Linked DNA regions of Tamandua tetradactyla. The protein of the gene in region 1 interacts with the protein of each later gene in a pairwise test. Links are inferred from orthologs where the notes say so. Each region holds a gene or a part of one and is shown in the gene's direction. Other genes may lie near its edges.

Evidence for each region.
Region 2: the proteins of PPP1CC (region 1) and PPP1R15B interact in binary tests that used the Homo sapiens proteins (3 or more experiments, as listed by UniProt). The link is inferred for Tamandua tetradactyla from reciprocal best matches to the Homo sapiens genes PPP1CC and PPP1R15B.
Region 3: the proteins of PPP1CC (region 1) and SFRP1 interact in a two-hybrid assay, tested with the Homo sapiens proteins (2 studies listed by BioGRID). The link is inferred for Tamandua tetradactyla from reciprocal best matches to the Homo sapiens genes PPP1CC and SFRP1.
Region 4: the proteins of PPP1CC (region 1) and SH3RF2 interact in a two-hybrid assay, tested with the Homo sapiens proteins (2 studies listed by BioGRID and IntAct). The link is inferred for Tamandua tetradactyla from reciprocal best matches to the Homo sapiens genes PPP1CC and SH3RF2.

The regions. Positions count from the first base shown.
Region 1 is NC_135331.1:11,472,302-11,480,005, reverse strand, and holds the start of PPP1CC (serine/threonine-protein phosphatase PP1-gamma catalytic subunit), read left to right. Parts: upstream 1-4,704; 5' UTR 4,705-4,919; coding exon 4,920-4,974; intron 4,975-6,493; exon of another isoform or gene 6,494-6,508; coding exon of another isoform or gene 6,509-6,527; intron 6,528-7,704. UniProt on the Homo sapiens protein: Protein phosphatase that associates with over 200 regulatory proteins to form highly specific holoenzymes which dephosphorylate hundreds of biological targets.
Region 2 is NC_135330.1:61,877,265-61,885,277, reverse strand, and holds the start of PPP1R15B (protein phosphatase 1 regulatory subunit 15B), read left to right. Parts: upstream 1-5,009; 5' UTR 5,010-5,620; coding exon 5,621-7,537; intron 7,538-8,013. UniProt on the Homo sapiens protein: Maintains low levels of EIF2S1 phosphorylation in unstressed cells by promoting its dephosphorylation by PP1.
Region 3 is NC_135329.1:16,791,852-16,798,828, reverse strand, and holds the start of SFRP1 (secreted frizzled-related protein 1), read left to right. Parts: upstream 1-3,973; coding exon 3,974-4,517; intron 4,518-6,977. UniProt on the Homo sapiens protein: Soluble frizzled-related proteins (sFRPS) function as modulators of Wnt signaling through direct interaction with Wnts. They have a role in regulating cell growth and differentiation in specific cell types. SFRP1 decreases intracellular beta-catenin levels.
Region 4 is NC_135346.1:26,405,031-26,412,486, forward strand, and holds the start of SH3RF2 (E3 ubiquitin-protein ligase SH3RF2), read left to right. Parts: upstream 1-4,452; 5' UTR 4,453-4,611; intron 4,612-5,670; exon of another isoform or gene 5,671-5,709; 5' UTR 5,710-5,815; coding exon 5,816-6,193; intron 6,194-7,456. UniProt on the Homo sapiens protein: Has E3 ubiquitin-protein ligase activity. Acts as an anti-apoptotic regulator of the JNK pathway by ubiquitinating and promoting the degradation of SH3RF1, a scaffold protein that is required for pro-apoptotic JNK activation.

The DNA.
Region 1 (7,704 bases):
TCCAGATCCGGGGACAGCTTGCTGCTTTCCTGACTGCGGAGTGAGTCATTTTGTGAAGCTCAGGAACATTTAGCAAGGCGGTATTGGTCAAATTAGCAAATCATCCTAATTTGTCCGTTGGGTAAGTAGAGCTGGAAGGGTGTTTGGGGCCTTCACAAAGAGAGACTCGCCCAACGCCAACGAAGACTCATGAGGACCGAAGATGGTTCAAGAGATTTCGAAAGAACCCATCTAAATGTCCCTCCTCCGAGAAGGATTCTGGGAACATCTGAACTCCTGGCCCAAAGAATTCAATTTCCCTCATCCCTAAAAACGCGACTCCTCAGTTTGATGAAAGGAGGTGTGAAGTCAGATAAATCCGAGCCCTGTCCTTCCCTAGCTGGGGTTACAAATAATCTCCTCTTTCCCAGCCTAACTCCTAAAATGGGGTGAGGATGAGCGTCAAGATTCTGCAGGAAAAGCCGTGAGCACAGAAACTGTCACATAGCAAGCACTCAGTAAATGTCAACTATCGCCGTCAGCATTGTCACCATTATTTTTACCAAGTCCCCAAGCACGTGGGAAGGTAAATTCTCACAATGACCTTCTGAGATGGGTGATGTCATTCTCACTTTGCAGATGAGGAAACTGAGGCTCAGAGTGATAAAGCCGCACCTGTCAGCGGCCTTCTCCCTGGTCTCAGGGCTCCCACTCCTGCCCACCTACAGTCCATTCTCCCCTCAGCAACTGAAGAGATCTTTAGAAAATGAAATCAGATCTTATTTAGGTGAAGATGCTTTCAGAGTTCTGATGCTACCTGATATGTCATGATCTAACCTTTCTTTATGATTTCGGTATCATGGAAAAAAAGAGTAATGTTATGGTTATATAAGATGAAACACTAGGAGAAACTGAGTCAAGGGTATTAGGGACCTCTCTGTATCATCTTTGTGATGTTTCTGTAAATAAAAAATTATTCCAAAATATAAAGCGTCTTTAAAAATATAAAATCAGATCATGTTACTCCTTGACCCAAAATCCTGCAGTGACTTCCCATTAGGCTTAGAATAAAATTTGAATGACTTTCCGTGGCCTATAAAGCCATGAACCAGCTGGCCACCTCTCCGACCTCACCTCCTAATACTCTCTTCCTCACTCTACACTCCAGCTGCTCTGGTCTTCTTTCCATTCCTCCAACACGGGAAACTTATTCCTGCCCCAGGACCTTTGCATTCGCGGTTCCCTCTGCTGGGGATGCTCTTCCCCGTTGCAGGTCTCCCCATGACTTCCTCCTTCTCATCCTTCAGGTCTTATTCAAATGTCACCCCCTCAGAGTCCCTCTCCCTATGTGGTCACATGAGCCCTTCTAATTTCCTCATAGCAATTTACCACTCTCAGAAATTATCTTCTTTGATTGAGTTATCTGTTCCTTTCCATCTTTTCCACCAGATTGGAAGTTCAACGAGGCAAGGACTGTCTGGTTTGCTTACTACTGTGTCCCCAGCTTCTCGCAGAAGGCCTGGAGCCTTGTAAAGCCTCAATAAACATTTTCCAAAAGAATAAGTGACTTCTGGTAATTTCACAGGACATTGAAATAAAGCTGCAGGCTTTACCAGAAAGCTTCCATTCACTGCAGCCCCCACACATGCTTGTCTGCCTTGTGCCATATTTTGGAAGGATTTGAATTCACAACCATCTTTTACAAATTGAAACATTTCACATAAAAATCCATATATCCAAGATCCTTTGGAAAAAAAAAAATCAGAGAATCTGGCCATACTGGGCTCATTATGTTCCCCATGGACTGGAGCTGGGAAATGGACACCCCCTAGCTGGGGAGTGGGCTCTGCAATTCATAAAAGTCACTACTCAGCCAACGTAATTCTTTCGCGCTGTCGGCCTGGTCCCCGTAGGCTTCGGATCCCCCTCAAACTCTAAAGGGTCCTGAGAGATACTACTGGTTTTCAAATATTTTAGACATAGCCCCTCTTTCCAAATCTCAATGGAAGCTCAATGTATTAGATAAAAGTAAGGATAATTAATATTGATTGCATACTTACTGTGGGTTATGCCTCTACTTTGCTGGACTCAAGGGGTTGGAAACAGAACCCGTTAGCTCCCACCCTCCTCAGTAGCTCTCTAAGAAAGTTCTGTAGATCCAAGGAAGGCAGTACAAAAAGAAGTAACATTTAACCCACTCTCCTCATTTTACAGATTGGCAAACTGAGGCCTAGAGGAGGAAGGCACCCTTCAGTAAATGGCAACACCCTTTCAGGTGAAATGAATGTGTCTGCCTCGTCCTTAGGGAGACCACCAGCATTGATTATTGCAGAAACAGGCCAATAAGGAATCGGTTCTTTCCTCTGTGAGCGGTTTGCCGATTCCCAGGATCTGTTCACACTTAGCCGTGTGAGCTCGCTCTCAGGCTCTGAGTCGGCTAATTCCTTTAGGCATGTGCCAGCGAAACTGGACTCTGGAGGGGAGTTGCCCAAACTTACAGTGGCATGTGGACAGAGGCACAGCCTATGTCCCAGCCCAGACCCAAGTCCTCCTCCAGAACTGATGATGTCAGTGGAGGTTAACACACCTTCCATTTTGCAGCTGGAAAATTACGGCACTCTTACTGTGGGAAGATACATGCGTGGGTTGCTCCATTGGGTTCTGCGTTTATGAAGTGTTTGGTGTGCGCCAGGATTGTGTCAGGGGCTGGGAATTCACAATGGGGATTTATTGAATATGAACGCTTTTGCTCTCAGGCTCTCCTGAGGTTCCAGCCTCTGACTTACTAGCTGTGTGACCTTCAGCAAGTGACCTAGTCTCTCTGTGCCTCAGTTCAGCTGTAAAATGGGGATGGGTAGGGATAGTACACAACACGTAGGATTGTCTTGGGGATTCAATGAGATAATGTTTTGGCACAAATGAAGAAAGTGAGTGCAGTGTTTGTTTTTTTTCTGCCGCACTTATCAGAAGCTGATATTTTTATTTGAGTCTTTGTTGATTTACTGTCTGGCTGGCTTACTAGCTGACTGTCCACGAGAGAAGGAGCTTGTCTGTTTTGCTTCCCGGCCTAGAACTATGCTTGGCCAGAGTACATGTTCTGTAAATATCTGTTTGCTGAATGAATCGCAGTCTTTCATATTCCTGCTGTAATTGCCTTGGCAATGACATGCCCTGCCCACCGCGGAGCTCAAGGTCTCGTGGACTCCTGTGTGAGCCATCACAGCAGTGCTGGGCACCCGTCAGAATGTCACCGACTGGGCTCGGTGCCCTGGGCTTACAAATGACACTTGTGTGGCTTTTGGTGGCCAGAGCCTCAGCACGGGGGAGTGAGCTGGCGACTCGGGAGAGTGGAGTTAGCGGTTGTGCAGAGCCGGCTGGACACCAGCTCCTCCACTCCAGCGGCGACAGGGGCGCAAGCCAGGACGCAGGGGGCCTGCCTGGGCCCCTTGGAGGGCGCTGCTTCCGAAGATGAATGCCCGCAGCGTAATCACCTTGCTAGTATTTAGGGATGGGGATTCGGGCACCCTGCATGCCTCGAGAAACAAACTGAATTTCTCTGTGGGAGCAAAGGGCCTTGCAAACTTACTGTAGGGCGCAGCAGGAGAAGAACGGATTACTGGGAAAGATCAGAAAAGAGAGCACCTCCAAACCCAGCTAAAGGCGATGCGCAACCCTCGGAAGCCGCACACTTTCTGCCCCGCCCTGAAGAGGGATGCCCGCTGGGGAGGCTGGGAAGCCCGAGGAAATGGACCAAAGTTTCCCGGGGTGTCCGCAGAATTCGAGACCTCCCCCCGCACTACCAGCCTCTGCCAACTCGTTCTTCCGGCCAAAAACTCAGAAATCTACACATTCTCCCTTTATCTTCTGCAAACTTGGCTCTGATTAGATTGAGGGTTACCGTTCCGATGATACTATAACTTCCCGAGTTTCAAAAAGATTATCTAAAGATAGAGAGGATGGATATTTTCTTTGGAGGATGACTTTTTTTTTTTCTGAATTGCACGGCCAGGTACCGGGAATCGAACCCTGGTCTCCAGCATGGCAGGCGAGAACTCTGCCACTGAGCCACCACCCTGTGAGCCACCGTCCCAGGATGACTTTTTAAGCTTTTTTCTTTTTTAATGTAAAAACTCACAGAAGTGACACACAAAATATACAGATACGCACATTTCCATACCTTAGAATAAACAACAATATTTTGACTTATCTGGGAAAGGGTTTTTAAAGCAACCAGACAAACCTCTCCTTTCTCCTCTCAATCCCAGAAAATTTGAATGCAAAAGAAGTCTACCTACTTCTCTTTAATAATCTCCCTTTCCACTCCCAAACCAGATTTATTTTAAAGGGCAAATTCCAGGAGCCCTTGAAATGCCTAGTCGGTCTTCCACATGCCAGGTCTGAAAACATCTGGCCTCAAAGAACTTGATCCGACGAAGGCCGAAGTCGCTAGGGCGCATATCTGGACCGTCCCCTCCAGCCCCAATTCCCGCGTGCAACTTTACAACTCCCGCTCCGGCCAGAAGGGCCTATTTGCTCGGCCCGCTTGGCGGAAGGATCCCGTGCGCTCGCAAGTTACGCTCAACCGTCTCCTGCCCCTACCCGCGCTCTGGCTCCGCCCCCTTTCCAGCGTCCGGACTCCGCCCCCTTCGGCGCGCCCTATGGCCCGTAAAGAAGTCCCGGCCGGGCCGCTGCACTCCCCCGCTCGCATCCGTGCGCCGCCCGAGGCTGGCTAAGCAGTCATCGGCCATTTTGTTCTTCTCGTGGTTCCAGCGGGGAGAGAAGGAGGAAGCAGGGAGCGGGGCGGCTGGGGGGGGACCCGCCGCGGCTGCTGCCACCGCCGCCACCACCGTCTGTGTGCTCGTGGCGTGGGAAAGGAGGTGTGGGTCCCGAGCGCGAGCCGGCGGTGGCGCCGCTGCGGGAGGGTCGGCGGCGGGAAGGCGATGGCGGATATAGATAAACTCAACATCGACAGCATCATCCAACGGCTGCTGGAAGGTGAGGGGGGCGGCGGGCGGGCTGAGGGGAGCTGGGCCCAGGGGCGGCAGGCGGCCCCGGGGCTCGCGGGAGGGGAGTTGGGAAGCCGGTTGGGCTTGCGGCGGTGAGGGGAGCGAGCCCGCAAGTTGGCCCGCGGGGCCAGGGGCTGCCGCCGGCCGGAGGGAGGCCGGGCCGGGTCCCGAACCTGACCCAGCCCGCGGCCTCTCCCGGCCCGGCTCATTCGTTACACGAGGCTGCAGCCTTCCTCCTGCCTGTAAAATTTGAAAATTCCGCCGCCTACCCCCACGTTTCCCACCCATACTCTCTCCTCCCCCATCCCCCCCTCTCCCCCCGGCAAACTGGACGACGGGTCTTGGGAGAGGAGATTGGGGGGGCTCGGTTCAACCTGCAGGACGGCGTGTACCGTGCTTTATTCTGGCCAGGATCGAGTTTCTGGTACTTTTTCTCAAAAAGCAATTTATTAGGGGAGTTGGTTTCATCGGGTTTGGGGGCTTTATTCATATCTTGCTTTCTTTTTTGTGTGTGTGGACTGGGGTCGGGGTTCCATTTCTTCATACTTGGTAGTGAACGCTCATTATCTGAAGGGGACGTAAGAATTCATCTCTCCCTAACCCCCAGATAACCTTTTAAGTTATCCTTCCTTATCTTCGATAGGGCTCCGCGCCCTTTTTCATGAGCGTGCTTGTGAACTTGAAATCAGCGATGACTGTGTCATTATCTTTCCAGTGTACCAGGGTCTGGGTCCAGCGCTTTGCGTTCTTCAGATTCTAACAATAATAATAGCCAACACTTCTAAGGACTTCACTATGTGTCTGGCATCCCTTTACAGATTTAATTTCATTCTCATAACCTTATGGGGTAGGTGCTATTATTTTTCCCGTTGTACATACGAAACTTAAGACACAGAGAGGTGAAGTCATTTGTCCAAGGTCACACAGGTAGTGACAGGTTTCAAAGCCAGGAGCCAGAACTCTCTACATTTCAACTCTCATCCTATAGATGACCCAATGTGTAAAGGAAAATGGAAGTGTCCCATGGTTAAGAAAAGGTTAAGTTAAAGCTTTCGTGTTGGCGGACCTAAGACTTGTGAGGTGCCTGGCAATTGATTCTTATTGATATGGAAAGCGGTGAGCTTCAGATTTTAAAGAGGGAGGCCACATAGAACTACGTGGGTATTCCAGAGCATATCTCCTAATACAAACATCTTTCCCAGACTTTGGAAGAGTTCAAGTAATTCTCATTCTTGATTTAGGCACTAAATCGTGTAGATTTGTCTGAGTTTTAACTGCTTTTTGCCTTTATGCTGTCCTAAAATATTGTTGGAATTTAAATGTGTGATAGAGGAGAGTATGAACAGTTGGGCACCTCTGGTGTTAGAATTTGCAGAACTTTTGAAGTAAATCATTAAAATGAAACTCCTAAAAAACTCTTCCTTTTCTTAAATCAGTGCCTTTTTTTTTCTTTTGCAGTACTTTCTAGCTTTCTTAAAAGAACAACCCACAGAATATGTATAAGAAACCCTGAAGTGCTGTTAATGACACTGCCATTTGCAGGTGAAATCCTTGTCATTCAGTTCCTGGGATTTATTATAAGAAACACAGGCTATAAAAAATATTCAAATGCTTTCCGTACTAGTCAGTACAGTTCTTTGATTTCTGTGTAGCAGTACTCTGTTAGAAACTGATTAAAACTTTTGCAGTGGGAAAGAAACTTTTATTAAATATTTTCATTTAAAATCTTAAATTAACTATACTTCTGTACAGGAATATATATATGTATTTAGGTCTCAACTGAAGTTCTGGTTTTGCCCATAATTGTCTCTGTAGTCACATAACAGGCTTTGTTAATTTAATCTTGTTGCCTTGATGAGCTTGGCTCATGTAAAATGAGATCAATCACTGTTTCTTAATAATCCCTCTTAATGCGTTATGCTGTACTTGAAAACCAGATTTTGAAATTTTCATTTTTCACTACAAATAATAGAATAAAGCAGTGCATTTTAATTCCTTGGGAATACTGTAGCTGCACAACATAGTTAAATTCTTGTCTCATGGATGTTAGATTGGCAGGGAAACAGTTGAAGAGGATTCCTTGAGGATAAGTATCCATCAAAGTTGAGAGATTCAATAAAGTTATTGAATTTTGTAATGCCCCAAAAGCCTTTTTCAAGCCTAAAAAATTTAATTAGATTAAATAAATCTGAAAATGGAGAGAAAAGGAGTTTTGTGACATTGTTAGACATTTTTTATGTGTTCAGAGTGTCTGATCTTTATGGTCAAGGACTGTACAAGCTATCAGTGTAAGTCCTTGGTTAGCACTGAAAAGACAACTCAAACTTAAGTCCAGTTTAAGAAAAACAGAATGCTGGTTTAGACCTTACTCACTAGCTTCGCAGTTCTTTTTCTACTATAAATGTTTAGTTTTTCCTTAAGCTGAAGTATCACTTCTGTGTCCCACCTCAGAAATTTTATCCAAGGAAGCTCTGCCTTCCTGTTGATAGATAAATTATTCAAGTTATTTCCTAGTATGACTGAGGTTCACTTATATAAATACTACACAATAAAACTTGGGGGATTTAGAGAGAAAAGAAATCAGTATTCGGATATTGTACATTGGAGAAAGGTCAGTTTTGAGGGCAGACTTATTTTGTAAGCGACCCCATTCAAGGGTCAGTGATGGCTAGCGCTTTTCTTGCACAGCAAGTGGTTGTAACTTACTTCACATTGTAGT
Region 2 (8,013 bases), on another chromosome or scaffold:
AGTCACATTGCGAAAGCTGTATCATACAATTGTCTTCAAGAAACATGGCTACTGGAACACAGCTCTACATTTTCAGGCAGTTCCCTCCAGCCTCTCCATTACACTTGAATAACAAGTTGACATCTACTCAATGAGTAAGAATAACCTCAGGATAACCTCTCGACTCTGTTTGGAATCTCTCAGCCATTGACACTTTGTCTCATTTCACTTTTCCTGTTTTTGGTAGAGAAGGTTTTCTCAATCCCTTGTTGCTAAGTCTCAGCTCATTCTAGGGTTTTTCTCAATCCCTTGATGCTGAGTCTCAGCTCATACAATCATTCTTGACATACAATCATTCTTGACATACGAACATTCTTGACATGGTTAAAAATCAATGACTCCCAATATCATCACATAATTGTGTACTCATTGCCACGATCATTTTTTTTTTTTTAACATTTGTGTCACTCCAGAAAAAGAAAGAAAAAAGAAAAAACTCATACATACCATACCCCTCATCCCTCCCTCTCATTGACCACTAGTATTTCCATCTACCCAATTTTGCAAATACTTTTTTATTCATTGTTCAAATCACTAATACTTGATAGTTTTTAAAGTGCTTTAATATGCATGATATTTTTCTTTACAACTACTGGAAGTAGGTATGGCTCATTCATTAATTCTTTCAACAGACATTTATTGTGCTTATCAGTGCTACCCAGTGGCATATGCCTCCATTCACAAAGAGTACAGTGTGACTGATGTGCTCTGGAGTTGTACTTGGCCCTCTACCAAATACAGTGCTGGGGTCACAAATAGAAATTGAATCCCCCAAATGGAGGATGGAGGCAATGTAATCTTTCTGGGGACATTCTACCTGGAAATTTTCAAAATTCTCCAGTGGGGAGTCACATTTCATGCTGGGCAATTTAGTGGGGCTTTCGGGGGATTTTTAGTAGTAAACAGCAGGAAATGTTACCTGCTGTATTTCTAAGTGGTTTTGAGGTGTCCCTGTGGACCTTTTAAAAGTTAGAACTTGAATCTGACAAGAATCTTAGTTAAGGAAGTTTCTTGGCCAAATGGGGTAGAAATCTGAACTACCCTGAGGGAGTGGGAATGAGAGAGCTGGGGGATGGGAAGTGAGGTTGTCCAGGGAGAAGAGAAACAAAAGAAGCCCAGGAGGTGAGGTTTCTTTGAGTTGGAGAAGTGGCCGAGAAACAACCCGACTTGCTGGGATTTGGGGGGCAAAATTTAGTTTGGACTTGAAAGGTTAAAAATGAGGCACCACAAGTTGGGAGGTAATTCTCACCTCCTTAGGGTTGTCTGGCTCAACAAACATGATGGCTTACTCTGGGTCAGGTGAGGTGCCAGGTATGATGGTTATTAAGATAATAAAAGTGTGAGTCCTGTCCTCAAGGAACTCACAGTCTAGCTAGAGAGGCAGACATGAAAGCAGATAATTAGTGTGTTATGGTAAGGACAAGGTAGGATGGTGGAAAAGGAGAGGGGTGGGTTGAGGCAGAGAGGTTGCCACAGAGGAGATATTTGAACTGAGTGTTAAAGTCAATCAGAAATCAGAATTTTATTTTTAGTAGAATGGAAACCCCATTAGAGAGTTTTGACAAAGGGACTGCAGTGTTCCAATTTACATTTTACAAGATCATTCAGGCTGCTGTGCAAAGCAAGAATGTAAGCAGGTAGAAGAGAAGACTTTGTAGTAGTCTAGAGTAGAAATGATGGTGGCTTGGTGTTTTGGTTTCCTGAAGCTGCTGGAATGCAATAAACCAGAAATGGCTTTGCTTTTACAATGGGGTTTCATTAGCTTACAAATTTAGTTCTAAGGCCATGAAAATGTCCAAATTAAGGCATCAAGAGGCAGATACCTTCTCTGAGGAAAGGATGCTGGCTGGCATCTGGGGTTCCTCTGTCACATGAGAAGGCACATGGCTGGTGTCTGCTGGTCCTCCTTTGTTTCTGAGCTCCAAATGTCTCTGGTGTTTCTCCCTTTAAGCTCTCTCTGTTTATCCTCATAAAACACTCCAGCAAAGGATTAAGGCCCATCTGGAATGGGCTGGATCACATTTCAATAGAAACAACCTAATCAAAAGGTCCCACCTACAATAAGTCTGCCCCCACGAGAATGGGTTGAAAGAACATGGCCTTTCCTGGGGTACATAAAAGCTTCAAACCAGCACACTTGGGGATGGGGAAAAGTAATCACATTTTGGATAAATTTTGAGGAGAGAACAAACAGGATTTGTGTATGGATTAGAAGGAGAGTGACAGAAAGTGAAGATTTGAGGATCTCTTCTGAGTTTGGAACCTTGGTAACTGGGTGGAGTACTGTGGTGGCAGCACTGAGATGGAGAAGATGGGTTTGGTGGAGCAGAATCAAGAGTAGTTTTAATCATAAGTTTGAGATGTCTGGCAGACGTCTAAGTGGAGAAGTAGAAGTATGGAATCTGTAGCCCAAGGGAGAGGTGAATCTGGAAATCTAAATGTGGAAATCATCAGTATTTAGGTGGCATTTAATGCCATGGAACCAAATGAAATCACCTGGGTTAAAGAGGGAGGAGAAAAGATGTGAGTGGACTGAGCTCTGCCACATGCCAAAATTTAGAGGAGCAGCAGCTACTGAGATTGTAGGAAAGCCAGAATGGTGTTGTGGGGGCTTCAGAAAAGATAGTGAGGGAATTGGGTTTAGCAAAATACTCTTGGTTACCTTAATAACAGATATTTGAAGGAGTGGTGAGGGTGAAAGCTACAATGGTATAGGTTGAAGCAAGAACAGGTGATGAGAAAGTGGGGACTATGAGTATACACAACTCTTGAGAGATTTCGCTGAGGTAATGCAGAAATTGGGAGGGTCATGTATCTAGGGTGTCTTTTTTAAAAATATTTTTTAAAATAGGAGATGCTAAATTATGTTAAGGTGAATGATCTATTAGTGACAGAAACTTACGGTGAAGAAAGGATAATGGAGCTCAGAATTCCTTGAGTAGACATGAAAAATAGGGTCTGGGTGGCATCTTCTACTGGGATTGAAGGCAGAGAATGTAGATTGATGGATATGGAGTCAGAAAGATGAGGTTGTTTATGCCCAAACAAATCTATTTTCTCAGTGAAGTGTGAGGTGTGGTCATAAATTGAGAATGTTTATGGAGCATGCTAGAAATTTGAGGAAAGAACTATTATAAAAGAGTGTAGGAGAAGCAAAGCTATCAGGGAACTGTCACAGGAGTGCCTGGAATTGGTGAAATTTGTGAACCCAAATATGAAGTGAGTCAGCAAGCTTGAGCGATTTTCTCCAGTAAGGTTTTGCAGCAAGGGTGTAGGCTCAGAGTAAGTAAACAGCTGGGTTTAACTACGATTGGAATTTTGCCAGAGAAAAATGCAGGTGTAGAAGGGCAAGAGAATTAAGGGTCTGGATAGGGGTACTGGATCATGGAATTCATGTAGGGTAACGAGGAAAATGAAGAGTGTGATAAATGATGAATAAGTGGTAAGGTCACAATAGTTTGGAGGTCTCAGTGAGGTAGCAGTGGGTTGGAAAATAGGAGGTGGTAGCCAGTGTGGGTTCCATGGAAATCAGATCTTGACGGTGTGTGCATGTATTGGTGATGCTGACTCTGAAAAATACAGTCAAAAGTCAAAAGCTCTACACTCTTTACCTCAGGACCAGCAAAATCTTTTAAAACAAGCATAATTAACTGAGGTTTTCATAATCTTCTGCCAAAGTACCTGTCAGCTTGCCAGTTCAAGGATATCTTGTCTTCCTCAGCTTGCACACTGCCATGGCAACACATTATCTCTGTGTAGAGTCGTCCTCCCTCTTCCCTCTAGTTGGTAGCAGGCTTTAAGAGGCTGTTTCACAGTTTATTTTCCTGTCAAGACTTACAAGGCAAAGTCATATATTTTATAGATTTCAAATACTTTATGATTGTATTTTTTCCCTCTAGAACAACATCCAAAAGTAAGGAAGAATAAAATTTATGGAGCCAATGACTTCATAGGCCCATTCAAGAAGGTTAAAAAAATATTTTAGGGGGATATGATGTCAGTCAGTGACAGAATTGAGAGTAGTTATAGATATCATGATAAGCTGATTAAAAAATAGAAATGGGACCTCTTAGTTTTCTAAAAAAAGGCCACTGTTCCTAGAACAGACCTAATAAAGTAGGAGGAGTAGCTGGCCTCCTCCTGGTTTCCTAAAGATCTTTCTGCTATAACTAGTGTTCACTACTGCTACCCTCCCTCTGCAATACTTGACTTCAGGGGTATTGATTTAAAAGTTTTGGGGGAAATAAGGAAATGAACTAAGACCAAATTCACAAGAAAGAATAAAATATAGCAACTTAAATCACCAGCCAAACTTCTTCCAAAGGATAGTGCTTCCTTCTTTGAGTGTAGTACCCTATAATTCTGGGAGCTCAGGAAATAAATATGAATTGAAAATGTGGCATTCTGGGAAGCATAAATGAGAGTAAACAGTTCTAAGGACTAAGTTTCTTCCCTTCTCTGTGGCTTCAGTTCGCCCCACAGTGAAAGAAAGTAACCTCATAGGGAGGCATCACCCGAGAAATGCAAGTTCAAAACCTGGATGGGGATGTATGTGAGTTGCATGCTGGAGGATCCCAAAACTAGATCCAGACATTAGTGGTTCGGAAACCTTAAAGCCGAGGGGGTAGGAATGTATAGGAATGGTTCATTTTTCACTTAAGATTTTTTTCAGTCCTACCTCAGATTGAGTCTTTTAATGCGCAACTCTTAAATTATAAGATATACTAAGATCTCAGATTGATGATCTACTCAGCATTAACAATATTGGAACCCCGATATATGCACGTCTAGCATAAGGCCATTAAAAGTGCATTAGGCCATTAAAATGGCTCCAGGGAATTTTCCAGCTATCTTGAAGCGCTCCCCACCTCCCTCCCCTTTAGCACAAAGGGCGACTGGGGCGATCTCCTAGGAGACCTCAGGGTAACAATTGCGCATGCGTAAAACTCTGCACGGCTGATGCAACCTCCCGCGTGCGAGCCGGGTCTACCGAGAGTAAGGAAGCAGACAGGGAGATAGGGTGTGCCCAATCAGCGGCAACACGGAAGTGTGCGAAAAGACCCGCCTACCGGTGTCGGCAAGTGACGTTCGGGGACGCGGGGTTAGTGGCGTAGACGCCGGCCATCCTTCGTCTTGTCGAGTTTCCTGGCGGTGTCCTGCCTCGGCGCCGACCCTGCGGCCATTTTGGGCTTTGCCTACACCCGCGTCTGCCTGCTTACCCAGCCCTTACGTGGTCGCGCTGCTAAAGGGCTTTTTAACCGTCAGTCTCTTGTGGAAAGTCGCCGCCGCCGCGGGAGGCCTCCGATCTATGGTGGTGAGACCTCAGACGGACTAGAACACCTCCTCTGCCAGGATGGATTTCGCCTCCGCTGCCGCGCCCAGCGCTTCGCCTTTCGGACTGTCGTCTGCCGCCTGCTGCCGAACCCGTTTTCCTCTGTGGCTCCTGTGCTGGCTTAGGGATCGGCCCGAAGCACCGATTCCGCCTCTCGTCAAGGCCGAGGCTGTTTAGGCCGCTTTCGAATCTCGTCCGATCTCCAGTTCCTGAACTCCGAGTACCCGAGAGATTGCCAAGAAAAAGGAGATGGAGCCGAGCGCAGAGTGCTCGCGAAAACGGTCTGCCGCTCAGGTGGGCTCGGGGTTCTGGCGGTCCTTCCTTTTTCCTCGGCGATCACGACCAGGCTCTTCTTCCAAGTTCCCGACACCTGCCGCCCCAGAAAACTCCGGGAACCCTCACCTGGTTTCCTCTCCCCAGCCCCAGGTTCGGACCAGCTACTGGATGAAGCTGCTTTCTCAGCTATTTGCCCCGCTCCCCACCTTGTTTCAGAAGCTGCTGATGTGGAGCCAGCTTTTCGGTGGAATGATTCCTACCAGATGGCTAGATTTTGCTGGAAGTTACAGCGTCCTGAGAGCCCTGAGGGGACGAGAGGAGCCAGGCACCTCCACAGCGCAGAAATCTGTGAGTTGCTTGCGGCTTGGCCCTTCGGACGACTCGAATCCCAGCCCCCTTGATTGGCTGGAGGAGGGGATACGCTGGCAGTGCTCGTCCCCAGCTCTAGAATTGGAACTTAAAGCCGAGGGAAGTGTTTTGGACCCTGAAGCACACGCTTTTCACGTAAAGCAACAGCTGTGGGGAGTGGAGTTGTTGCCGAGTAGCTTTCAAGCTGGTCTGTTCTCTGACCAGGAACCTGGCTCTTCGCCTTCGGGGTCTCTAGACATTCAGCACTTAAGCAATTTCAACGTAGTCTCCTGTTTGCTAAAACCTTCCTATCTGGATTGCCTTCCCCCGGTAGAGCTCAGCTGTGAGAATAGTGTTGGAAGTAGCGAGCTAGTTGATATCCAGACACTAACCCTAAATAGTAACAGTCTGGCCGATGACCTTTGTCATCCCCAGCCACTGAGTACAGAGATCACTAGAGCCTCCTGGCAGGGATGTCCACCTCTTTCTAGAGAAGGGTTGCCAGAAATCCACCATCTTCGCATGAAAAGGCTGGAATTCCTTCAGCAGGCTAACAAGGGGCAAGTATTACCCACGCCCGACCAAGATCATGGCTACCACAGTCTGGAGGAGGAACACAACCTTCTGCAGCTTGATCTGAAACATTGTAGAGATAACCCAACACAGCTTGTTCCCTCTACAGGAGCCATTCCTGGAACCGCTCAGGAAGAAGAAATACAATTGTTGCCCAAAGAGCTTCCACTTACTTGGAAAAAACAGGACCCTTTGGAAAGCTGTCCATCTTGTGAGGTGTCTGTGGCACCAGAGTCTGAACAGGACCACATTAGGGTAGTTGAGTACTCAGACATAGAAGAAGACCTTCCCGTTTCTGCCAGACCAGCTTGTAGTAACAAATTGATAGATTACATTTTGGGAGGTCCACCCAGCGACCTGGAAACAAATTCTGATTCTGAAGATGACCATTGGGATGAAGAAGCTGAGGATGATGGTTTTGATAGTGAAAGCCCACTTTCAGAATCAGACCTTGAAGAAGACTCTGAAGGGCTTCACCTTTGGAACTCTTTTTGCAGTGTAGATCCTTATAATCCCCAAAACTTTACAGCACCAATTCAGACTGCTGCCAGACTTGTTCCTGGAGACCCTTCTGATTCAGAGAAGAATTTGTCTGACAAGTCTGATCTAGAGAATTCTCCCCAGACTGGAAGACTTTCTGAGTCTTTTTACCATAATTCTGAAGAGGAAGATGACTGCATGTCTAGTGCAGATGAAATAGAAAATCTCAAACTGTGGAATTCTTTCTCTAATTCCGGTGACCCCTACAACCTTTTAAATTTTAAGGCTCCTTTTCAAACATCAGGGAAAAATTGGAAAGGCCATCGCGACTTGGAGAGATCGCTTGAATCTATTGTGGCTGTTTCTGAGTGTAAAGCTTTACTTTCCTGTAAGGTACAGTTGTTAGGGAGCCAAGAAAGTGAATGTCCAGACTTGGCACAGTGTGGAGTTCTTTCTGGAGAAAGATATGTGCATATCAAAAGAAAAAAGGTTTGTTTCTTTTCTTTCTTTTACTCTCTTGACACTATTTTGTTTTGATATGGCTAAATATAGTAGCATGACTTTTTGAGGCATAGTAATGCATATTTTTAAAGATTTCTGAATTCATAAGATTAAAAATTGTGCAAGTGGTCCCCGCCCCCCTTTTTTTCATTCTCACAAAGAGGTTTGTTACCCAAAACGAAGATGCTGGTGTGTAGCTGTTAGCAGGAAAATGCTTTTTCCATTTGGCTTGGCAGCGCTCAGTAGTTTCCTTACAGTCTTCAACTTTTCACTCTTTCAGGGAATAGAAAAACTAAACCTTGTTTATGTGTGCATGGTTTAATTTTTCCAGAGATTGGGAAGGTCCTATAATAGCCATAGAGTTTTAAAATGGTTTTAATCTGTTAAGTCATTTGCAGACACTTAATATTTTATTTATATACTAGTAGTCTTTACTTATGTCCATTAGAACCCAAAGCTATGAT
Region 3 (6,977 bases), on another chromosome or scaffold:
CAGATTTAAAGTTGTATTTTGTCCCTGTTCTTTTATTTTTATTTCTAAAATTCATTTTCTTTATTTTTTAAAAAATATTTTCATTGACAAATCTTCACACATATACAGTCCATACATGATGTACAATGTGGCCCACAATATCACATAGTTGTGTATTTAGCACCACGATCATTTTTAGAACATTTGCATCACTCCAGAAAAAGAAATTAAAAAAAAGAAAAAAACATACTAATATACCCCTTACCCCTCCCTCTCATTGACCACCAGTATTTCTTCTCTTTTTTTTAATTGACGCAACAATGTACAAGCACATACATTCTTAACATACAAACATTCCATACATGGTGTACAATCAATTGTTCACAATATCATCACATATTGTATACTCATCACCATGATCATTTTCTAGAACATTTGCATCGCTCCAGAAAAACAAATAAAAAGAAAAAAGAAAAAACTCATACATCCCATACTCCTTACCCCTCCCTCTCATTGACCACTAGTATTTCCATCTATCCAATACGTATATATTTTAATTTTAACATTTGTTCCCCCATTATTTATTTATTTTTAATCCATATATTTTACTCATCTGTCCATACCTTAGATAAAGGGAGCATCAGACACAAGGTTTTCACAATCACACAGTCACACTGTGAAATCCATATCATTATACAACCATCTCCAAGAAACGGGGCTGCTGGAACACAGCTCCACAGCTCCAGGCACTTCCCTCTAGCCTAATACTCCTTAATCTAAAAAGGGGATATCTATACAATGCATAAGAACAACCTCCAGGATAACCTCTCGACTCTGAAATCTCTCAGCCACTGACATTTTATTTTGTCTAATTTCTCTCTTCCCCCTTTCGATAGAGAAGGTTTTCAAAACCCCTTGATGCTGAGTCCCAGCTCATTCTAGGATTTCTGTCCCACATTACTAGGGAGGTCCACACCCCAGGGAGTCATGTCCCAGGTAGAGAAGGGGAGGGCGGTGAGTTTGCTCGCCCTGTTGGCCAAGAGAGAGATATTTTCCCTGTTCTTTTAAACCATTCAAGAAGAAGGGAAGGTGTGCCTCCTGGCCGACAGTTCTCATTCTCAGGAACCCCGATTTCTGGGAACTGTCATGCCAAGAACCTATTTAAAGAACTGTTGTTCTAGAATTTTTCCCTCTACACATACACTCTTGCCATTAGGAAAAGAGAGGCTGGACTTTGAAATGTAAAGGTCTGACAATAGTAAAAACCACAAAAATACTGTATGGAGGCTTCAGGAAAGTTCCGCAGGGCTCTGTTATACAGTATGTGTACTGCATGGCAGCAGGTGGTCATTAAAAATTTCAGGTGTGTGTAAAAGTCTCTTGGTGGGAGCCAGGGACTCAGTAGAGTGGCAGCACGTGGACAAAGGGGGCTGGGACCAGACTCCTTCCTTTCCGGTCCAGTTGGGCCTTAGGAGGAGCCAGAAATTTACCCGTTTTAGAATTCTGAGGTCTGATTTGTGCAGCCACTCCCCTTTTGTCCAGGTGACAACTGAATCTCTATCATGTCCCAGGAGGCGTATCTCTAAAACAGGAAGACCATTTGGGGGGTGGGGTGAGAAGTTGGAGATTGGAGTGATCCAATCACGAATAACCAGAGATAAGGTAGAACCCTTCCATGATGGGATTCTGAATTATGCTCCAGAATTTTAAGGGTGAACAGACCCAAGTCTTCTATTTCTTGTACATTTGGGAAACTGTACACATATGAATGAGGGGTCAGCTAAACCTGGATTTGGAAAAGAGAGAATGTTATCTAGAAACACGACTCTTTCCAGTGAGTGAGTAAACAGACACATCTGGCTTGGGACTGAGGGCCTGGCTGTAAGAGAGAAAATGACTCCCTACCAAACAGCATTTTTTCTCTAAATGTCCCTTGACTTGAGACACAGTTGCTGGGTCTCCTGCAGTCTATTCTCCGTGAGGAATTTCTCGGACAGAGCATTACCAATTGTTTTGGGATTAACCCTTTGCCACCCAAAGTCTTGCTGTTTCGCTGTCTATCTCTTTCTCCCCATTCTGTCCCCACTTGCTTTGGGGCATCTTTCATCGGCCAAAAAACGGCAGAGAAGTTGACTATCTGCAGATGCTGGCTGTGTGTGCAGCGGAATGACAATCTCTTTCTGGGTACCACAGCTTTAAGAAAATAGCCCCGCTTTTTCACAAGCTCCAGTAGTTTTACTTGGAATCTCTCCATCGAGAAATTTGGTTTGCAGAGCCCAAAGCAAGCTTCCTTGGAGCTTTACAAACAAGCTGGCCTGGCAAGGCAGCGCCTCCTATGGTGTCCGCCTTGAGTTCTAAGGTCTGAGGTCCATTTGCCAAAAGGCTCAGAAATGATTTTCAGCATCTCTGCCTCCCTCGGCCCTCACTGCAGGACACAAGCAGTGTGAGAATCCAGCAAACTTCATAAACTGCTTATTTTCTCTCCCCCCTCTGGAACTGAGTCATAGCCATACCCCAGCTCTCTGAGGCTTGACCCTCCCTCTCAGGAGAAGGCTTGGAACACACAGAGAATTCCTAGGAATTCCCTAGGTGGAGGGTGGAAGGGAGACTCCTGCTACTGGGTGTGTGTGTGTGTGTAGGGGTGGGGGGGGGTGTAGTTGGTTAGATGAGATAGCTGTGCTTTGTCTCTAGTACCTTCCTCTTGCCTTGTGCCTTAACGAGGACCCTTGGCTTTGACACTTGAGTTCCTGGACCCAGTCTAAATGCAGCATGTGTGCCTGAGTGACGGACTTGATATTTACACAAGCTACGCCGATAAGTGCACATGTGTTTTTAATGTTTTGGCTTTCTACACCACAACTATGTCAGTGTGTATACGCCTGCACACACAGACGTGCTGTTGGGCTGGGGTTTGGGTATAGGGGTTCTGACTGTCTCTTCCTGAGAAATATTTCCCACCACACTGAGCAACATTCACGCAGGGCCTCAGGTGTTGCTTGAAGGTCAGTTTCCTGATGTCTTACCTGGAAAGATGTTACATTTTGAAAAGAGCAAACAGGTCCGAGGAAACCTTCCCCTCGCCTTTGAAGGAGGCGAGCCTGCGCTGCTAGTGATTTAAAAGCAGACCTCCCTCCCTTCAGCCTCTCTGAACTCGTTAGTCTTGAAACGGCCTGTCTTTGTACTGCAGCTACAGAAAACAAATCCGAGTTGGTGAGCCGCTAGCCTGGTGGGCTGCTGCTTGAAATTCGGGAGGCAAAAGGGTTAAAAGAAAAAAAGTCTCAAGTATCTCCTGGGTTTGCAAGCAATATTGAGGTTCCCTGCTTTTCTGCAAGCCACCTCGAATTAATCAGAACATTAAACATTCTCTTTATCTACCCCACCCTTGTATCTATACCTCCTTTCTTTCCTTTTCCCTTTTCCCTTCTTCCTTTTTCTTTTTCTTTTCTTTCCTCTTCTTGGTGTTGTCTCTTAAGGGGTGTTGACCTGTGTTTGGTTCTAGTAAACCGGGCCCTCTAGCCAGTGAAGCGATTGGTTAATTGAGTCGGTGACTGACGTGGTAAATGAGTGCGGCTCGCAGCAGCCGGGAGCTGATTGGCTGCGCGGGGAGACTCCGAGGACTTTGCAACACGAGCACCGGGCACTCGAGTCCTGCGGCCTCGGGAGTAGGTGCTGCGCGCGCGCCCACCCGCCCGCCTGCCCGCCCGCCGGCCGCGCGTCCGGGAGCCCGCACGGGACTCGGTCGGCTCCGCCGCTCCGCCCTGCGCAGCCCTCTCCGCGCGAGCTCACGCCGCGGCTCCTCCTGCAGGCCGGGGTCCTCGACCTGCCGAGCACCGGGACAGCAGCGTGCGGTCGCGGAGCCCGGCTCGGGGCTGGCGACGGCGCCTTTTGTCCCCGGACATTCCTAGAAGGAGCCCGAGAAGTTTGCAGCGGGACGCGCGCGGGGAGGCGGCGAAGGTAGCCCCGACGTCGCGGGTGCGAGCGCGCGGAGCCAGCCATGGGCAGCGGGCGCGGCGCGGGGGGCCGCCGCTGGGCCGCCTCGGGCGTGCTGCTGGCGCTTGCCGCCGGGCTCCTGGCCGCGGGCTCGGCCAGCGAGTACGACTACGTGAGCTTCCAGTCGGACATCGGCTCGTACCAGAGCGGGCGCTTCTACACCAAGCCGCCGCAGTGCGTGGACATCCCGGTGGACCTGCGGCTGTGCCACAACGTGGGCTACAAGAAGATGGTGCTGCCCAACCTGCTGGAGCACGAGACCATGGCCGAGGTGAAGCAGCAGGCCAGCAGCTGGGTGCCCCTGCTCAACAAGAACTGCCACATCGGCACCCAGGTTTTCCTCTGCTCGCTCTTCGCGCCCGTCTGCCTCGACCGGCCCATCTACCCGTGCCGCTGGCTCTGCGAGGCCGTGCGCGACTCGTGCGAGCCCGTCATGCAGTTCTTCGGCTTCTACTGGCCCGAGATGCTCAAGTGTGACAAGTTCCCCGAGGGGGACGTCTGTATCGCCATGACCCCGCCCAATGCCACCGAAGCCTCCAAGCCGCAAGGTAAGGCCGCCGCCTCCCACGCGCGGGGGCGTCCCACCCGGGGCCGGCGAAGCCCCTGCCACCTCTCACTCCCACCCCCACCCCGCTGCCCCTCCGGGGAGTTCGGAGGTGCTCCCTGGAGGTCGGAGGTGCTCCCTGGAGGTCACACTCTAGCTGGACGGAGTGCTTTTTAAAAGCGTCTCGTCTCGCCCAGGTGGCATTTAGCGCCGCTCGCGACCCGGGTGCACGGTGGGGTCACCTGCGGGCGGCGGCGGCTGCGCCCGGGCCGCACCGGGCTCGGAGACCGGGTCCCATCCCCGCGGCAGCTCCGCCAGGGATCCGGTCTGGCTTTCCCGGTGCCCGAAACAAAGCCGTGCGCTTTGAGGGAAAGGAGAGCTCTTCTCTCCTCCGGGAAGGACTCGAGGCCCCCCGTGGAAGTTTTAACAAACACGAGAAGCGATGGCAGAATTGGAAAAGAAATCAAACCCCCACATATAGAAAACTCAGAAAGGCAGAGAAAATGCTAGGCGCAGCTTTGTTTATTTTCATAGGTTCGATGAGGATTAAAAACACACACGCACACACAAACATCTTTCTTGAGTAACCTCAGCTAGTCATTCAGCCAAGTAACGTCAGGACTGCTGTAGAACTGGCTGGAAAAAAAAAGTTTAGGAACCGTGTGGATTTCTGTTTCTCCATCCCTTTCAGGTAACAGCTCTCGATTTGGGGCTCCAGAATGGTTGGGGGATGGAAAACCTCCCCTCTTTTCATTCTTGCATAACCCCTGCTTCCCTCATTTGCACAATCCTCAGGTGATTAGAAAGATAAAAAAAAAAAATGTAATGACTTCGTTGATCGTCTTTCCCTGGGGGAGTAGGACAGAGGCTCTGTATATCAGGGGCTTTTCTAACCACCTCAGGGAACCACCTAACGGCCCTCTCAGAACCCCCTACCCCTTTCCCATTTAAAGGGCAGTTCTTTAGTTGGAGTTAAAAATAAGACAAACAACAACAACAAAGCAACAAAAGAACAAAAAAACATCCTGGGAAAGTTAAAACACAACATGGTCACCTGACATTTATAGGAGCGGATGCGCCCCTAAATTCTACGGAAGAAGAGTTTAGACTCAGAGATGTGGACGAAATCTGGGATGGGGGTGCGCTTAGCACAAAGGCACGGATCCTTTGAGTTTTACAGGGTGGGGATTTGGGAAGGGAGTAAGGGCTGCCCTTTCACTTAGCATATCATCCTGAAGTGTTGGGTTTCTTTAATCTCCTCCACTGTTGATGCTGAAAGCGGAAATGTCCACTGAGGGGCAACGAAGTTACCTGGATCCCCAGGAGTAGTGTGGGGGGGGGCAGGTGTAGTGAAAGGGGCACCCCCAAATTTTACCTGCTTACGTCTATTCTAGGGAGGGAGGAGATGGGCCCAAAGTGACTGCCATTGGCTGGGTGGCCTGGGATCTGTGCCAGGTGGGAAAGGCGCCTGCCTGCCACAGAGGGGTCTCGGGACCTCTGCTCTCTGCTTCCTGGTTGTCTGCATAGGGTTAACCTCCGGGGAAATGCAGCCCTTTGAGAGCAAGAGCTGAGCAATTACCTAGAGCAAACAAAGCACTTTGTGTTCTGTCCCTGTGGAACCATCCCCTGCAGCCCACAGGATTTTCCTTCTCTCCTTCCTGGCTAGCTGGGGGATTAGCCGAGCCCTGCCCTGAGAGGTGGCACTCCCAGCGGCCGTTCATTTTCTCTTTCTGGGATGGTTGGTGGTTAAGAAATGGAGACTTTTGGGGGAATAGCTATCGAGAGAGTGGTTGAAAGTCTGAGGGGGTGGGGGGAGAACTGGAGGGGGTACCCACGTGCCAGGGGAAGGAATCTGACCCCAACCCAACCCCCCAAAAGCCTGGGGTGGAGTGAGCTGCCTTTTGCTCCTTAGCTGCGTGTCCCTCGTTTGCTACCCAGTCAGGAGCCCAAGTGTCTGGGCCTTTGCAGCATCCCCCTCTCCTCTTTCACTCCACCCCAGGGACTGTCCATGTAACCACCCGTCCAGCTGCTGAATGAACACAGCCAAAAGTCGCCAGAAGACCAGTCAGGAGTGGGGCTAGGGAACTGGATCTCGCCCCAGAGTTTTTACCACTTTGCTTCCCAGGACCCGTGGTGTGAGAGAAGCTCCAAATCGACGGCCTCTGAGGCCGCAGGGCCACTTACTGACAACTGAGTGGGAGGGCGGAGGGCAGGCTCTGTGCGTGTGCGCGCGTGCATGTGCGCGTGGGGGGGGGAGGCACGCTGAGATAGCCCCAACTACTGGTCCTCATCGATGAGGCAAACCTTATAGCTGGTGGCCCTGGAATACAGCCCCGTAGTTTGGGTTGAGAATAAATATGCAGGCACTATTTTGATTCTTTAACATTAAAACTGAATTTTCAAAGCAACATCATAGCCCAGCTTGCTTGCAGCCTGGTTTCTGTGTGCATACATGAGCGTGCAC
Region 4 (7,456 bases), on another chromosome or scaffold:
GGTGATTGCATAGGAATGTCATGAAGTATGCTCTTTACCGGCAAACATCCTCCAGAATGGAGAGGAAATCTGAGAGTCATTCTAGTCCTGCACCTTTCCAGAAAGCCAACATGTCTAATAGCTGGCTAATTTTAATTCTAATAAGAATTCAATTCCTGCCATTCTTGTTTCCTTCACTTTTTTCACTAATGGTAAGTGTCCACTTTCCTCCAATCATTTCTCTCCTTGAATAGTTCCAAAGATTACCCAGTATTATTAAAAAGCCAAATTACATGGGCAAGTTCAGCACCATGGAAATAGATAACATTTGCATTCAAATATTTAAACATATAGCCAATATTACAGTAGATACTGAAGGGAGAGTGCAAAGAAGTACAAAACATGGTCTCTCCAACAAGGCTACCAGCAATAGTGAAGCCTCACAAGGTTACCTCGTGACTCCCTCAGCTCTAAAACTTTGGATTTCCAGCTACCTGACTCCTTTGATGGATTCCAGGATTGTTTACAAATAATTACTTCATGGCAGAGACCTTGAGACCACCAAAGGGTTAAGAGCCAGAGTCAAATGAAAATAGCACATTGCTAAAATTGTAATTCCAATAAGTAAGTAAACTTGATTGAGATAATTTGTCTGCACATTTTGTTACTTAGTTTTAAATTTGAAAGAAACTCTCTTAACCTTAGGCAAATCTTGCTTGTGGTAGTTTCCTTGTGATCTGGAGTGAGGGAAAGAGTAGTGAAAAGGGAATGAGGGAGAGCCAATACAAGGATGCATCATTGCATTATTCATTCAATAAGCAAATGGCGCTCAGCCTGCAGAACCTCACGTCGTTTCAAAATTTCCTGAGTGCGAGAATGAAAGGAGGAAGCATACGTTCATAGAGTCCTGCCCCCACTAGTCAAGGATGGCCCTCTCTAGGATTGTGCACACGTGGGTGCAGAGCAAGTTCCCACGGGTATTCCACATAGCAACACCAGAGAAGCTCTGGGGCAGTAGACAAGAGCTCACAGTAGGGCCCCCAGGGGAGACACTACCAGGTGGCCTCCTCTGAATTTGGGAAAGCCTTCTTGGCAGTAGCTTAGTAAGAGGTGGGACCAAGAAGATTCAAAGTGTGATCCAAGAGGTGTGCAATATAAAACCATTTCTAACTTCAAGTTTGATGTGCATCTCTCCAGATATAAACAAGTTTTTAAGAACACAATTCTTTTATTCATTTATAAACCCATTCAACAAATATTGCACATCAACCATATGCCAGTCACTGTGTTAGGTTCCAAGAATAGGGCAATGTCAAGACAATTAAGCTCCTTGGATAAGGCAGGCATTAAATAAATCATTATAAAAATAATTTACTAAATTACACTTGTGATAACCAATATAAAGGAGAAGTGTAGGGGGATAAACTTTCAATCATGAGAACCAAAGAAACCCTCTCCGAGGAAGTGACATCTAAGCTAAACATGCATTATGATTAGTGGTTGAAAATGCAAAGAGGAGGAGGAAAACAGTAACTAGGAGGGTGTTGTAGACAGAGAGTAGAGCATACACAAATACCCTATGTCAGAAAAACATAAACTGCCCTAAGTGCAAAGAGAGAGAGTCAATGTGTGGTGAGGAGGAAATATGGGGACAGGTCAGGCAGGAGAGATGGGCTGGAGCCAGACCATGCAGACACCGATAGACCAGGAAAAGGATTTGGATTTTATTCTAAGGCCAATAGGAACCTACTGAAGGTTTTGAACTGGGGAACCACACGGTAAGATTTCATTTTTTTAAATCTAACTTTAGAAGATGTACTTGTAAATACAAATAGCAGAAGCTCATAAATATCATGCAAGTATTTAAAAAGAGGAAAACCGGTAAGAAGCATGTAACAACACAACCATAAACAGTAGGGTTGATGGAATGGGAGCAGTGGAGCTGATAGCCTGAGCCCAGAGTCTGGCAAAGCATGCATAGTTGACCTTTTTGTTTGTTTTTTAAAGACTAGATGTTCATCTGAGTTGACGCCAAGATAGTGTTTGGGTAAGCTGGGGTGAAATCCCCATTTAAAACTCTCCTCCTTCATCAAAGGCTTCAAAGGAAAATTTTTCTTCCAGTTTCCACCAAAACTAACCTCATGTGTGGGTGGTGTTGGGGACCACCTAGAGGGTGTGATTCGAAAGGTCCTAAAAGAACCCTCTTCCGCTCACCGTAAATTTTCTCTGTCCTGCTACTAGTGCCGAAATTTCTACCATCAGTAATTCTGTTTGGCTGATTTTTTAAATGTCAGATTTGCTTGGGCAGAGTAATACACTGAATCTGTCCCGCCTTCCTGGGGCCCAGCTGGTTTGATCCCTTTTTCTCAAGGCTGGGAGAGTTTGAAGCTTTTTGACACCAGCAGCCACACAGGGGCATGGAGGGGCCATGAGTCTGGGTAAGCTGCAAGGAGGGAGAGCCAAAGGAGCCAAAGCACATCAGACTTCAACATTTTGTTTGAGGTTGGCCGTGGGATCAGCTGGCGTGTGTGATATGAATATATGGATTAGTGCGTGTGGATTTGTACAGCAAAGATATATGAGTGAACTTACAACATGTACTTGACTTTATGCCATGGGAAGCAATAACAGCAAGGAGCTCAGGCCCTGGTGTTAAACAAGGCTGGGGACGCATCACAAGCTTTGTAACCCTGGGAAAGTTACCATACCGAACTGCTTACTTGTAGGGCAGCTGAGAAGATTCAATGAGACAATCTGTTTAAAGTCTTAACTAGGTCTGCAGCATACAGCAAGTGTTATTATTAAAAGTATGTGTGTGTTTGTGTTGCACTTATAGATGTGTGTGTGTGTGTGTGTGTTAGAGCAGAGGTGGGTATACATAGTGTGCATAGGAATGAGACAGGGAAGGAGTAAGTGTTACCTTCAGCAGCAGCAGCAGGGAGCTCCAACATTGGAGTGGACCTTTCCAAAGAGGGGTGAGGGTCGGCAGGAGAGCTCACGGGGAGACCAGATCAGCTTTGCTAAATAGGAAACAGGATAAGGGGCAGCAAAAGGTTTGCAAACTACAAGAGACTTCCTAATGGGCACTGAATGACGAGGGGAAATTCACTGAAGGAGGCAGGCAGACAGAAGGGGATGTGATTCTGTTAGAGCTCAAAAATCTTCTAGAAAGTGAGATGAATAAAAAGGGAGCTGAAAGCAGCCTCTGAAATAGACACATATCAAGATTAGGCTGTCAGAGCTGAGAAGACAGATGATTTCATCTACTCCATCCTAAAATTCTGTTCTTCCTTATTTTGAGCTTCATGCTTGATTACATTTTCGAAACTGGACATGGAAAGACTTTGATAACCACCTGAGCCACCACAACCTGTTTTCAGGTCTCTTGCTCCCTTCTTAGGATTCTCCCATAGAGTTGTATTCACATGCCTTCTGCATTATAAAGAATTGACATTTTTATGATAAGAGAGAAGATATAGTATAAAGAACACCCAAGTACAAATCAGAGGAACTCAGTTCTGCCTCGAAGTCACTGAGCAACTTTAAGGAATCTCTTGATCTCTCTGGGCAGAGCTGCCCCGTCTGCAAAAGTTGATTAATCAGCTAACTTTTGCCTTCCTGCTACCCCAGATGAGGTTTAGCTCACCTATCCTCCCTTTTAAAGCTATATCACCACTTAACTTAGTAAAGAGCACAGAATACCAGTCTTTTACTGGCTGTGACTCCTGACATAAGTTATCTAACTTCAAAGTGAAAGTAAAGAAGGGTATAGTGTATCATAGGAATTTTTGGAGGATTAAATGGGGTAATAAAGGTAAAGCACTTAGAACGGTTCCGGGCCCAGGAAAAGGATAGCCTAATGTTAGGTGGTATTATTATTATTATTATTATCTATTTATTCTACTTGGATATCTTTGTAACTTTCCATGAAATGTATTAGCGATGAGCCAAGAAATATAAGTATTATTTAGGGACATAAAAAGACTACAGTGGGGGGAACAGCAGAGAGCTGGAGCGCATTGCTTTTCCGTAAAAAAAAACTCTTCTGTACACTTTATTTTTCAAGGATATGTATGTACTACTGGGACATTTTTAAAATTATTATTCTTTGAAGAGACGGAGTATATTGAAAGAGTTTATCAGAGGTACCATTAATATTTCTGCCCATTTCAGAGAAATCCTTGTAAAGTTTTTTGTGTTTTTTTTAAAACCGCACAATCACGTTGGCATAACTGAACACGTTTTAACTCGCCTTGGAAAGATAAGGCGCAAAGGTAAAAACATAAAACTTTGGAAATACTTGGCCTGGGGGGCTGGCTTACGTACTATCTCATAACCGCTTCCCAGAAATCCACCCAGTTCCGTAAAGGAAGGTTCCGTAGCAGAAAGCGAAGCCCTCCTGGGGGGGCGGGGCGGGGGTGGGGGGAGGAGAGTCCTGCCGGCGCGGCAGCCGGGCGGTGAGCGCGGTAATAGTGCTGCGTAAGGCGATCCCTCGAGTTGAGTAAGACTCCGAGTTGTTCAAGTTTTCCAGGCGGCCGCGGCGGCACTGGGGGGTGAGGAAGCGAGTCGCCGGGAGCGCGGCGGAGCGGACAAGCGAGCCGAGCTGAACTCCGCCGAGGTCACTCGCGCAAGGTTAGTGGCAGCGCGCTGGTCCCCAGCCCGCTGGTCCCCAGCCCGCCCGCGCCTGGCATCCTTGGAGAGGTGGCCGAGGAAAGCGAGGCGCCATCTCTCATGTGTACCGTCCGCCGTGCTTACTGGTGGGGCCTTCCTGGCTGCAGCGTTCACCCATACCTGGGCACGTGTGAAGGACTGCTGACTCTTTCCGAGGAGACTTTCCTAAGCTGGAGACTTCTTCTCAGGCGTCCACAGGGAAACTGTTCCTGAAACAGGGGTTCTTTACACACGCGCGCGCGCGCAGGCATACCTGCCGCACCTGTATGTTCTGTTCCATCCTGGGTTTTTGCAGGTTGCGGGCACAGTCCTGAATCCCTACCTGCTTCAGTTGAAATTGAAAACACTTGTCAGAGTAACTCAACAGGCTGTGCCACCTTACATTGCCGGGAGGAATCTTGTCTCTAAGGCTGTTTAAGACAATCTTGGTGAGCAGGCAAAGAAAGGGAGAGAGAGAGAGAGGAAAGCTCCCAGGTCGAGGCAAAACAATTTTGAAAATGGGTTGCTAGTAGAGATTTCTCTTGTACATTGTTAGATGAAAAATAATGGGGGAAGATGTATTGTGAAGGGAATAATTCTACATCTGATGTGATTCAGATAAACTTACCCACATCAACTAAACTTACCTGCATGTGGCGCAGATAATAGATTAACCTGGAGAGAGAAGGAGTAGATCTCTTCACAGAAATTACATTCTGGAGGGGCTCTGATTTGAGAATTGAGAGTGTCTGAGTGCTTTACCCAGATTTTAAAGGACCCCCTCCCAGCCCAGACTGGCAGAGAAGAGGGGGTGTGCCACTTCAGCAGGCCATTTTTGCTCTCTGCCTTTCCACACAGAGAGCCTGTGCGCAGTCTCTGCTGAATGCTGCTGGCTCCTGTTCCTTGCAGCAGGCAGGAGTCCTGTACCTGCTAGCACTGAATCAGAATGAGTCATTTGAAACTTGGGTGCCGGAACAAAGTACTTGCAAACTGCCTTATGAGACATTGCCTCAATGTAGGTGGGATATACATCTCAGAGCAGTCACAGTTCTATCCTCCCTTCTTTTCCCCTTCAAACAGGCAGGAAATCTGAGGCTCTGGAGAGACCGGCACTGCCCCCTCAGCTCGGCTGCCCCTACAATGTGGATGCTGCCCCTTCAGGTCAGGACTGGAGTGTTAAAATAAAATGGATGATGTGACGTTACTTGATCTTTTGGAGTGCCCTGTGTGTTTCGAAAAGCTCGATGTCACAGCCAAAGTCCTCCCTTGCCAGCACACCTTCTGCAAACCATGTCTACAGAGGATTTTCAAGGCCCGCAAAGAGCTGAGGTGCCCAGAATGCAGGACCCTGGTCTTCTGCAGCATCGAGGCGCTGCCAGCCAACCTGCTGCTCGTGCGTCTTCTGGACGGTGTGCGCTCAGGGCAGAGCTTGGGCAGAGGGGGCCACTTACGCAGGCCTGGCGTGTGGAGCCTGCAGGACAGCCCGAAAAGCAGGGCCAGCCCCCGAGGACTGCAGTCCGGCACTTTCCGGCTGGTGCCCAATATCAGGATCCACATGGATGGGGTAAGAGAGATCTTATTTGTTAGTATCGTGTCCATGTGGAGGTTGGATTTGTGTTTACCCAGAGTTGGGAAGGATCTTCTTGGAGTTGCACTTCCAAGAATGTTTGCGGTTGGTTCCCTACTAAGTTTCTGGGATCAGCGATCACTTTTCTGAAGTGTAGGTAGAATCCTAAGCCTGTCTAATCAGTCTGAGAATTCTCCTTAGAAGTGAGCATTTATTGAAGCCTCCCTAGGTGGTTCCTGTTTCTTGTACTGAAGGCGGCAGGACAAGGAAGGCCTCCCTGATTATGTTTTTGTCTTTCCCTTCTCTTGTTCTGAGGCCAAACTCGTGCATGGGAAATGTATGGAGGGTAGGAAAAAGAGAGAAAAACAAATCCAGCTGCTTGTTGCCTTTGAGATCTCTGAGAAATTTCCAATTTCAGGTTTTATTTTAATTTTACCCAAATCTGTCTTCCCACTCCCAATCATAAAGTGCCATTATGACAATGCTCATTCATAAACTGTTTGAAGCTATCAAGATACTTGACACTCAAAAATCGTGAAGGAGGGAAGCGTGTATGTGGGTGTACTGATTGATAGCAAATCCGGGCCATGAAATACAATGGATGTGTACAAGAGCCCTGCAGATGGATCTTACTTGACAAAATGAATAAGCCACGCATGAAATACATGCTAGGGGCTACAATAAAAAATGAATGGACATGGTAGAGCTGTACCGGAGATTGTCCGGTAATATTTTTGGTGTTTTAATAATACAAATCCATCTGTCCAACCCTGCAAGCACACCCTGTGGACTTTATCTGAACTGACTGTGAACCTTGCTATGGGATGCTTTGTAAGAGCACATCTCGAGAGAAGAATGTGGTCCTTGTGAGTCCAAAATAATTATTTGCACTGTCACCCCTGGAGTCAGTGTGCCAAAGTGAACATGGAAAGCTATGGCCTGGGTCATTGCATGTTTAGAATATCAAAGCTGCATTCTGTGAAGTCGTGCTGGTGAGCAAGCTATAAAGCTTTACTACTGACAGTAGAGTCCCATGACTCCCTGCTATTACAAGTGACAGTGTGTATGTGTGTGTGTGTGTGTGTGCGTGTGTGTAGAGAGGGGCTGGGCTTTCACGGATCCCTTCCCCACTCTGGAGAACAGGCCTGTGATGGGCATTCAGAACAAACTCATTTTCCTTCCAAAAACTCAACCCTCCCTCCCTTGTTCACGATATCTGTCAGCCGCCCATGTGGCATGGAGGGGACACACATGCAAAGC